Bombyx mori: one gene and its partners. The protein of the gene in region 2 purifies or fractionates together with the protein of the main gene of each other region. This does not show direct contact. Links are inferred from orthologs where the notes say so. Each region holds a gene or a part of one and is shown on either strand. Other genes may lie near its edges.

Region 1 (3,761 bases), on a different chromosome or scaffold from region 2:
TCCGTTTAGACAATAATACAATTTCCACTGGATTTAATAGATGGATTTCCACTAGATTAAATTATCTTTCAATTTATTGCCAAATAAACTCATATCATGGTCTATGACAATTTCTAGTGCAATTTGTGGATTCTAGTTTGAAGGGTAAGCCTGCAGCTATACAATAGAGAGTTGAGATTTGCTGCTTTAAGCTGGGTGGTGCTTCTGCTTCAGTAACAAATGCAGCACATGGGATTTAGCATGTCTGCTCATCATCAGTTATAGTATGGTGAAATAATGAATATTAATAATAAGATCATTTTTTTCATTTTTATAAAGTAAAACTTTGAAGTTTTTTTTTTAATTTGAACCACTCCTCTGCAAATAACAGAATAAAATTAAAAACATTGTACTTAATGTTCTAATTTTTTTTTCTCCGTTCTGGCTGGTGTTTGACGTACTTCTTTTTAATACTCTTTTATAAGCTGGGTTTATGTGTAACAGAATTGTTGAATGTCATTTCACTTACTTCGAGGCGTCCAATTAAGTTGAAATTTGTACATACATCAAGGGCAATGACAATATAATAATTTTAATGATTTCTCTTTAATATCTTGACCAGTATCAACTGAATGAGAAATATTTTTAATTCTTAGTTCAGTTTACTAAATTAGTGTGTTTTTATAGTTTTTAAACTACATTTAAATTTCTTTGTACAGGGTTCACTCTTGAGTTTTCACACAATTGGAATTTTATAGGTTTATCTATTTAAATTTGGTTATAGACAGATAAGATTATTATTTATTAGCCATATAGAGCAGATATTGTTTTTCAATATTATTATTAAAAAACCTTTTTGAAATAGTAAACTAATAAATTCTATAAACTTTATGTACAATTGATGGATTTGTTGATTTGAATTTTATAGGCAAACAATTAAAGAAATGTATTGTAATGTTATTCGAATATAAAATTTAGCAATGATTGTTGATTTCAGGACTAACCTGAATAAGTCACTCACAGTGGGGTTCATATAATGTTCTTTTATTTGGTAATGAATAAATATAAATAATATTGGATTTCTTTTAAGTGATGATGATTCGTTTATTAGTGGACCGTTTAGGTTGAGAGCATACAATGACTATGAAAGTAATGAGATCTTCACATAAGAATGGATTACTTAGCTTATTAAATAATACGTAAAATTACCCAGATTCGGAGCCGTTCATCTCGTACTCTTCTAGTTGTTTCTCTTTAGACAAATAAAAGTTTTTGCTTTTATGTATTTCAGACCGAATAATCTTTCAATGTCTCAACGTAGAATATGCTATCAGACAAACAAACCCGCAGAATACGCAAACTCTCACTTGGTTATACTTAAAAAACAAACTTTAAAGAACTAAATAATAAATTACACGTCTCTAGTTATGCTCAAAGGCATTTTATTTCGTCACAAACCATAGAAATGCAAGTGAAATCTCATGCCACCTTTGATTAAATTCTGACATATTTTTCACTTAATTAAGGATTAAAATCACACTATTTAGGAATAACTAAAGTTTTTTATAATCACATACGCATGAATATTTAAATATAATTGATTATTTTTATCACAATAATTGTAACGAATTAATACAATAGCCAGCTGACATTTCCGTGGTGCGTTGCAAGAAATTCAACATGGCCGCCATGACTCGCACATGACGTTTACCGCTGCTGGTCAAATATTTTCTGTTTTGAAAATTGTATTTAGTATATACGTAATCCATAGATTTAATATGCAAAAGGAAATATAAAAATCAATGTTACTTAAAATTTTCAAGAATGTAAACATAATTCTGTAAAATGAAAGTAAAAATATGACTTTGGCTGGAAAACTGATGTTTCAGAACGAACGTTACGTGGAAAACTTTTTCCATTACTGTCTGAAATGAACATAGTTTCCGGTCTACGAGATACGATTTCATTTTGATACTGATCTACTAATCTGTGTATTACAAACACGGAGGCTGATTAGTCGTATTCATTGATATATAAATGTCCGTTGTCACGTTTTAACCTACCTTCTATTTTGCTCAGGCGGCAACACACTCCAATCTACTTCATACATAGGATATGCCATGGTTGCAGTGAAAAACAACACATAAAATAACTATAAATCTTTTAATAAAAACATTTCACACAGTATGCCACGATATTTGACGACAGTGCAAACTAAACTGTTATCAGAGGTGTTTTATCAGGTGCAGGTGCTCCTCAAATATCCAGTCACAACGTATCTCTTATCAAAGGTACAATTTATCACTGAAAAAGGACAGCAATACCACTTCTAGTAATGTTTTATTTTCAAATGTCAATACTGTACAAAACAATGGACTGAACGAGTCATATACACATTATCTTAATAGGAAAACTAATTATTATTCATTGTATTATGTAGGTACGACTCGATACGATTACTGAGCATGTATCGTGCGTGTGTCGCTCTTTAAATGCTCATAAGTTATCATCGTGGTTACGGGGAGGACGATCGACGCTGTTGCGTTTTATGCAGTCTACAAGCCATCGGATGCCTTCGTCCACGCCATCACTAAAAAAATAATATGAACAAAATTAAAGTTAATTCAAAACAATATGTCAATTTACATTCCAAGATATTCCGTATACTTATTTATTCTAAAATTCTGATGTTTAAAGTGTTTTTCTTCACACTTTTTATCTATTTAAACATTTAATAGAATCGCATACATTCACAAAGTGGGTTATTTCAATATTTAAAACAAATACATATTGTTCGACTAAGAGAGTATTGCGTTGGCGAACGGATGATGGAATGGTTATTATGATCGTATTTTTATGTACGTATGTGATCGTAGTCATGAATTCGATTTAAATAGTTGTGTTCTATTATAATGATAATTTTAAATACCTGGTGCACATTGTCCGTCCTTGCCTACCTGAAGTTTTCTATCTAAAGCAGTTTTTTAAGAGAATAACGATCGTAAGTTTGCCAGCGTTTGGCGGGAACGCGAGGAGCGTTGTGGTCTGATTTGTTTTATTTTGTTAATTTAGCGTTTCATCAGATTTCAATGTAATAGTGGTAATATAATGGTGGTTTATTAACTGTTTATCGTCTATGAAACTAAACAAAAGTCGGAAAATAAAACAAAGCTCGTATACCTGGCATTTTGGGTTCTTGAAAAAAATCCACTTAGCTCTTATTAAGAAACACCTTTTTATCGAGACTTTATTTCATCCCATCTCATCTTGTTTCATTTAGTTTCATATCATTTTTCATATAACAGAATATATATATCGAAGGGTGGAAGGCTCTAGTTTAAGCGATATTTGCTAATAGTGGTTAAAATATGAAACTGCCGTTTTATTGTAATTGGTACTTCGAATTGACATAGAACCTTCATGGTTTCAGATTTTTGAGTGAAACTTTTTTCAAATGGTAGCTATGAGGTTTTTCTTTTAAAAAATGGGCAACATTCGATTACCTACCTACCTACCTAATAAAACTTTCAGTTGCTTTTTTTATTCAACGCTGCAGAAACAGCTCGCAATATCAAAGTTGCGTTTGGAGAGGGGACTGGTAATGAACGCACCGTGCGATTTTGGTTTAAACGCTTTCGTGATGGAAATTTTGGTTTGAAGAACGAACCACGTGGAAGACCGCCCACACATATGATAAAAATGAATTGAAAGAGATGGTGGAAGCCGATCCGAGCCAAACTACCCAGGAATTAGCGACATGGTTAAACGTTACCTTACCAACT
Region 2 (3,761 bases):
GTTTTTAGTTAAGTGACTACGGAACCCTAAAAATGGTTATGAATTTTTTGTTTACGAAGGCATACGAACATAAGGTGCCGTTGATGAAAAGGTGTCAGCGCTACTCATAGACATCGGCAATGATAGAGGTACCTACTATCAAATAGCTGATAAAAAGTAATAAATATTAAGTACTGTTAAGTAAATGTAATAACAGCCACGCGTATTACGTAGCGGCTCATATGATGTTAAGTGGTCATTGAGGTCCATAGATCTTACAATGTCAATGCCAACACCCAAGTCTCATAGTAATCAATCATGACTGTGTTAATATTCAAAGTGAAACATGTCCCTACTTCATGGCAGCAATAAGCAGGATGTAAAGTTTAACCGTGTGCTAAGTGCAATCGCTATTCCGCCAAATGTATGAAAACACACAAAATAAACATTTGGAAAAATCATTAACTTTCACAAAAACAAAAACAGTATTGTTTAAATAAGCTCATAATTATTAGGAGAAAGAAAAAGTTACCTTAATTTCGAGTATATCACTATCAAATTTGTAATAAGGAATTTCTATCGATTGCATTTGCGGTCTTGGCCAAATTGCACCTTTCGATGCTGGATATTCGGGTCCCGGTTCCACGATATGCAAACCGGTCACTAAAAAAGCGCCTAAAATATTTAAATAAACAAAAAGACGAAACATTTTGTAAACGCGACTGCTCGCTATAAGGTTGAATACAAAATGTTGTGAAATACCCTGTCTCCTAGCATTATATAGTCTGCTAGAAGACAGTCTGTCATCGATAATATTTCACAAAATCAGACTTCCATGAGTGTTGTTGCTCAGTAAAAAATGAAAGGCGTATTTTTGCGCATTTTGTACTATGTTTATAAAGTCTTAGATAACACATTCAAATACCTAAAATATCGCTTATTTCCATAGCTTCATTGGCTTGAAACAATTCAATTTAAATTAACTGGGTTACTGATAAAAAATACATTTCAAACTCCGACTTTTGTCGTTTTCATTTTGGTGTCATAGATTATGAGTTTTAATATTAATTTTAATGTAGAATGCAAGCATAAATTACTTATATTTAGGATAAGGTGGGTCAGTGCGTGAATTTTCTTCCTTTTCTTTCTTCAACAAATTATCTATGCCATGCACTTTGTGGTGCACATTTCCACACTTGGTGGAAATCTAAAAATATATGTTGTCTATATTGATTTTTTGCCAATTCAGTAATTTTTCTGATTGAATCTGTGAAAAATATAGCTTACTGGGTTTTCAATATTTTCAATATTGTATGAGTGTAAGGAAAATTAAAAAAAATGCAGGACATTGTTTCTCATTAGTTTTTTGATACTGTCTCAACGGACAACAATATCATTCAGCTGCCATCAGCAAAATGGCGTTACATTGTATTGTATTGACATTTTAGTGGTTTTTCAATAGTCTCAGTATAATTTCAGCAGTTTGGTGAGAACATTTTAATAGCTTGAAAAAGATTGATTGTTTTAAGGCTAAAGAGTCGAGTAGCCAATGGTCGGAAGCAAACTTTAAAAAAGTAACAATTGACGTTTCAATTTGGGGGCGGCTCATTTTTGGGTTGAATAATTCTCTATTGAGAAAAATGCTGCCTACATTACGTTAAATTTCTAAAGGGATGTAATCGCTGAATAGCAATTACATTGAAACCAATTTTGAAAGAGTGTGAGGTAAGCGTTTTTAATAAATATTCATATCACAAATGAACGCCCTGTTTTTTTTAATGTATTTCTTATTTCTGTTTTATTGATTTATTTTCAAATCTCTCGATAAAACCAACAAATAAAATTCAACAACAACAAATTAACGTGTATTTATTCGATTTATTTTCCATAATGTATGTGGGTACTTCTGTTATTGGGATTCTGGGACATTCGCCCATACTTTTTGTCGTGTTGGGTAATTATTCTTAGCGTATTGTTTTCATCGTGAGAGTCAGCGATTAGGTTCCACCATTCTTTCTATTGGTTTTACGAAGCGTTCAGGCTTAGAGGGTGGGACAGCTCTTGTACAACACAAACCTCAACCTTACGTCTCAAGGAGGGTCAGGATATCTATAGGGTCTGGTTACTATTTGATACAAGGTCGTCACTTAGCCCTTCTGATGGTAGTTAATCTGGCAATCAGGCTAGAGATACAGGTATGTGGCCTTGGCACCCTATAGATATTCCACAGCCGCTTCTCCGCCTGAAATCTGTAGTACTAACCATTAAATCCTTACTACATTGTCTTAAATAATTCTACTTATTCTTTTGACTTGTATCTTAAGTACTTGCTGTAAATCTTACACACACAGGTTGGTGACACCATTACCTTAGTCATTACTACAATGTTTCTCAAGAAGTGATACTCACTTTTCATTCCATTGTTAATAATCTTTGATAACTGTGTAGGATATTGCACCAAACACTTCCGATTTTCTGAATAAATGGTATATGGTTTCTGCAAGTCATACAACAAAAGATTGCATATCTGCAAAAAGTTCACCCCAAAAACAAATGAAGGGAACTGTACCAAAAAAAATACATGTAACTTTGAGAGCAATTAGTGGATAGCTGTATAAAAACAAAAATTTAACCATTTAAATCGTAAAATGCTGCTCTTTAGACAATTAAAACCTAAAGTTTAGAGCTTAAAGACCATTCTGTCACCTGAAATTAAAACAAATATATATATCCTTAGGCCTCACCTACAATGATCGGAGGCTTGTTCGTTTACAACCATAAAGGCGAGGTGTTGATCTCGAGAGTCTACCGAGATGATATTGGTCGTAATGCTGTGGACGCATTCAGAGTGAATGTGATCCATGCTCGCCAGCAGGTGCGATCACCTGTTACCAACATTGCACGCACATCTTTCTTCCATATCAAGGTACTGTTACCATTTTTTTTATGAAGTTCTTCTAACAGTTTTTAGTAGAAATAAATCATGTGTTTTAATTTGAAGAATATAAGATATCTTGCATTCGATTAATGAAATATGTTGTAATAACAGTCATTATTTATTTATTTATTACACCTCATGTAAAATTTACATTGGCGGACTTAATGCCTAAGACATTCTCTACCAGTCAACTAAAGGTAGTGCAGAGTAAATAGTGGTAGGTGTAATGAAATTTATATTAAACCACAAATACATACACAAAAAAAAAAAAATATATATATATATATCCTGTAACACTTTTGGCATCCAATGAACACAAAAGTACATTTAAAGTGGCGACCACCGACATTTGGTGACCAATATGTGGTCGCCACTTTGTTTCTCTATATTTTTAACACCAATCAACTGTAGATGAAGCTATGGTTACTATTTCAATTTTTGAGATGGTCACCAAATTACCTCATATTATATATATATACACACATAATGTGGTAGGTACATTATTTTTTGTGCTCGTGGTGTTCATGATTTAGGCCACTCAGCATCAGGTGGGTTGTGTCATCAATCAAGGCAATAAAAATGTTTAATAAGCCTTTAATTTTCTTAGGACTTCCACATAAAAGTCAATTCAAAGAGCTTAAAATATTTATATACAGTGTCAAAGCAGAGAATACAGTTGAATATTTCTGATAGGCAAACGATATGCTTAAATATTCAAAATAAATTTTATTTGTAGCGTGCAAATATTTGGCTGGCAGCAGTCACAAAGCAAAATGTGAACGCGGCCATGGTATTTGAGTTCCTGTTGAAGATCATTGATGTGATGCAATCGTATTTTGGCAAG
Region 3 (3,761 bases), on a different chromosome or scaffold from region 2:
TATGGCGCAGAACCGGACCGAGTGGAGAAGATTGACATACAGTCACGATCCTCAGCATTGAGGGAACGACCAGAAAGAAGGCAGACGAGCATACGGCCCACCTGATGGTGAGTGGTTACCGCCGCTCATGAACGTCAGCAATGCCAGGGGCAGAGCCAAGCCGCTGCCTACCGTTTAATACTCTCCACAAACCTTGTTTGAAGATGGACATATCATAGCGCTCGGGAAACACTGGTTAAATAGAGTGCTATTGCTACAGAAGGCTAATGAAATTATTTGGAGATAAATGATAATAATAATAAATAACTGGGAACAAATCATGCAATGCTCATCAGGCTCCAAATTAGGATTACCTGTGTTATGGGTACAAGAGACTGACATACACACTTCTATATTTGTTTACATATAAACATATATAGATAATAAAGCCCCATACAAAGAGAAATAACCTGTTCATCACACAAATATTTGCCCAATGTTGGATGGATGTCCTCGGTGCAACAGTCACTGAGACCACTGAGTCAGTCTGTACAAGACCATTTTTATTAAATTTTGAAATACAGAAAGACTGAATTTAGAAGCATTTTTGGTGTGAAATGCATATTCATAAAAATCTTTATTAATAGTAGCTACAGGAGATTGGAGGTAATTTTATCTTCTAATAAGAGAATATCTCATGCATCTATTTTGAAGATTAATAGTAATAATATAATCTTCTGGCAAATACTCAATTCCAATTCACAATAACCAATGCATACATGATAAGGCAAAAGTTAATGCTAATATTACAGATGTTAAATAATTCAGTCACTTATTCTGAAATTCAATATAAGTCCAGAATAATATAAGCTAAAACAGAATTATCTAGTGCTACTGCTTAATATTAGAAAAGCTAGAAGACCAACAATTACTCTAATAATTTACATTACTTTCATTAGGATTTTTAATGACTTTTAGAGACTTGTCATTCTAAATCACTAATTTGCTCTCTGTCACAGACACTATCTTATTCTTTTTAGCATATCTTAGAGTATAAAACACAATATTACTACAAAATTAAAACTCATTCATACACCAACAAAAACAACTAAATATGAAATTATATGTATCTCATTTGTAACAGAATGTATTCGACATATGACAAATGAATCATGCCAATATTTATAAATTAAGTTTGCAGATACAAGTTTGAAAATATTAAAAAACCATTTGGATTTGTAATCAAGTTTTATAACATCCTCTTTTTTTGGTCTTTGTATCAAACTAATAAACTAATAAAGCTGTGGTTTTGTTATTTGCGGCATTTAGTCTATATAGACTTTAAATTTGAATAAGTAATGAAATAAATTTTATTTACCTAGTGTGATGTTTTTCTGTGGACTATTTACTTAATCTTACAATTGATTTAAGATATCCAAGCAAGTATTGAATAAAAAAATTATCCCAAACTTACACCACGCGATCCAGATCTTTGTGACATTGTTTCCGACTCAATTTCAGAATCAGTACTGAGTGCTTCATTCCCATCATGAGACAATGTCTGCGGAACATCACTATCAGACAGATTAGAAGATAGTCTTATTGGTTCATAAGCACTAATATTTCCAACAAAATTTCTTTCACGTTTTGATATGTGATGCTCTTTAGGAGAATTAGATAGCTGTATTAAATCAGAATTAGCTTCTGAGTTAAGTGCCCACGTGAACCTCGGCAGTGGAAGATCAATAGGAGTTGATAAAAGATCAGGTTTAAGTGCTATGTTAGTTTGATGTGCAGCTATTAATTTAAGTGCTGAGTAAAATTGCTTCCTGTTCATATGATTTAATGTTGCACAGTTGTTAGGAGACACGCTTATATCCATGATCTGAAAAATATCAAAGTTATGTACCAATATTATATGTACAACCTGTGTTATCACTTAATGGGTGTAACCTATTCATTTTATTACCTGTTTCAGAATATCATTGGATATGTTCGACGATCTAAATAGTTCTGTTGCTTTTAAAATTGGTATTTTCCCATTAGATTCTTCATCACAACATAAAAACAAATCACCGAAATATCTTGTTTCGGTTTCTGTCAAGTTGAGATCCTCCATTATTTTATTAATTTAACAACTGTACAAACTCCTATAACTTTTATCAATTCCAGGTTAAATGTACAACAAAAGTAATCATTATCTATTGATAAAAACCATATTCCTTAGTAAATAGATGGATTTGTATCTTGCTCATCACAAAATTTACACGAAGCAAACGAAATGTCACTGACAGAACAAAGACAGCTGAAGCGACTTTCGTCCATCATTTGTACGACCACAGACCTAACACAATATTCGATCTGGGTGCTTTAGCAATTTGTTTCAGTCTTTCAGCCCAGTCACGCAATTAAAGTTAGTCAGCCTTGTCAAAGAGTTATGATATTTTTTTATTAAATTATTCTTAATATGACGAAAGCATTGTTGGTGGTCCGGAGGTCTTTCCAGTTTCACCAGGACAGGGTTATGATATTATTATATCGAAACGTACCGTGCATACATGAATCGTCCATTATCAAAGGTGGCAATCTGTGCATTTGGACAAAAACATGTTAATGATATGTCAATACAGATTGATTTGAATATAATCGTCTCCTTCAAAGAATACGGTTCAAAACCTGCATGAAATAAAGGTTAATACTTAACCTGTTATTTATCTAAGATGTCGTTCAGAAGAGTTTTGTGACTGCCAATGGAATACAAAGTCAATAATTCGTTTTTCTGATTTAGCAATAATTGTTCAAAAGTCACATTGCCGGCTTTGATAATAGTCGACTCACATATAGGTACAGCAAGAGAGTTCATGTCCGAACCCATATAATATTCAAGTTATTGTTGAATGCATCTTGCTTTGGCTGGTTCAGACTCGTAGTGTATGACATCAGCTTTCGCAGTAAAAGGTTTTTTGAGATATTCTAAAGAATCCAACCGAATATTCTGTTCAAAATATAATAAAGTTGCGGATTTAAAAATTATACATTGAACCATATTTTCATTATAATCTCTATTTTCACAAGCGTTGATGTTTTAATGAGAAATAATATGTACCTACTTATACAAGGTTCAAACACATAATATGTAGTTGTAAACAAATCGTTACATATTTTTCATTTTCAGTAATATAAATACCGAGAATTCATTCCATTAATCATGTTAGGAGGAAAGTTTGTACACCTATCCTAAAAAATATGTTAGTTCTGAAAATAGCCTAATGTCCAGTGTAGAAGACAATCTTCTTCCCAAATTCGAAACTCAACATTGTTGGTCTTTCTTTTTTATTTAAAATAAAATATAATCGTTGTAGGCAAAGAAGCTTACGGTCAGTGTTAAATGCTTAGCGAATCCCACATCGTAACTAAATATTGTTTAATGGCCTGCCAGAAGCAAGAATTGAAAAAGAAGGAAACTGCGTACATTCTAACAAATTTTCAGATTTCTACCTATAAATACTTTTAATTAACCAAAATTGATTTCCTTCTTTTAGTAGGTAGGTACTCGTCTCTATAATCTTATTTATGTTAATAAGCAACGCTACAATTTAAACGGATAATTTTTGTCTCTGGCTAGTTCTTCATTCCACTAACACAAGTGGTATGCTTTCACCAGTTTAAAAACTTAGTTTTCTGTTAGATACTAGTGGTAAAGCATGCTTCTGTGAAGTTGGAAGTGGATAACACTACCCTACCTTCCTTATATAAAGCAATACAAAATATAATTAGAAGTA

Evidence for each region. The genes of interacting proteins can lie anywhere in the genome.
Region 1: the proteins of AP-2 complex subunit mu (region 2) and AP-1 complex subunit gamma-1 purify together in Homo sapiens (affinity purification with mass spectrometry; 3 studies listed by BioGRID and IntAct, counting the BioPlex papers as one, with this or other methods). This does not show direct contact. The link is inferred for Bombyx mori from reciprocal best matches to the Homo sapiens genes AP2M1 and AP1G1.
Region 3: the proteins of AP-2 complex subunit mu (region 2) and ralBP1-associated Eps domain-containing protein 1 purify together in Homo sapiens (affinity purification with mass spectrometry; 3 studies listed by BioGRID and IntAct, counting the BioPlex papers as one, with this or other methods). This does not show direct contact. The link is inferred for Bombyx mori from reciprocal best matches to the Homo sapiens genes AP2M1 and REPS1.

Annotation. Positions count from the first base shown.
Region 1 is NC_085116.1:14,739,431-14,743,191, forward strand, and holds the start of AP-1 complex subunit gamma-1, read right to left. Parts: upstream 2,184-3,761; 5' UTR 2,102-2,183; coding exon 2,043-2,101; intron 1,399-2,042; exon of another isoform or gene 1,209-1,398; coding exon of another isoform or gene 1,189-1,208; intron 1-1,188. Other genes in the region: ADP-ribosylation factor-related protein 1, read right to left, coding at 2,476-2,569. UniProt on the Homo sapiens protein: Subunit of clathrin-associated adaptor protein complex 1 that plays a role in protein sorting in the late-Golgi/trans-Golgi network (TGN) and/or endosomes.
Region 2 is NC_085114.1:2,133,504-2,137,264, forward strand, and holds the start of AP-2 complex subunit mu, read left to right. Parts: upstream 1-1,248; 5' UTR 1,249-1,704; intron 1,705-2,716; 5' UTR 2,717-2,728; coding exon 2,729-2,905; intron 2,906-3,653; coding exon 3,654-3,761. Other genes in the region: GlcNAcase3 (beta-N-acetylglucosaminidase 3), read right to left, coding at 512-642, 905-926.
Region 3 is NC_085109.1:4,009,111-4,012,871, reverse strand, and holds the start of ralBP1-associated Eps domain-containing protein 1, read right to left. Parts: upstream 2,326-3,761; 5' UTR 2,099-2,325; coding exon 1,949-2,098; intron 1,865-1,948; coding exon 1,454-1,864; intron 1-1,453. UniProt on the Homo sapiens protein: May coordinate the cellular actions of activated EGF receptors and Ral-GTPases.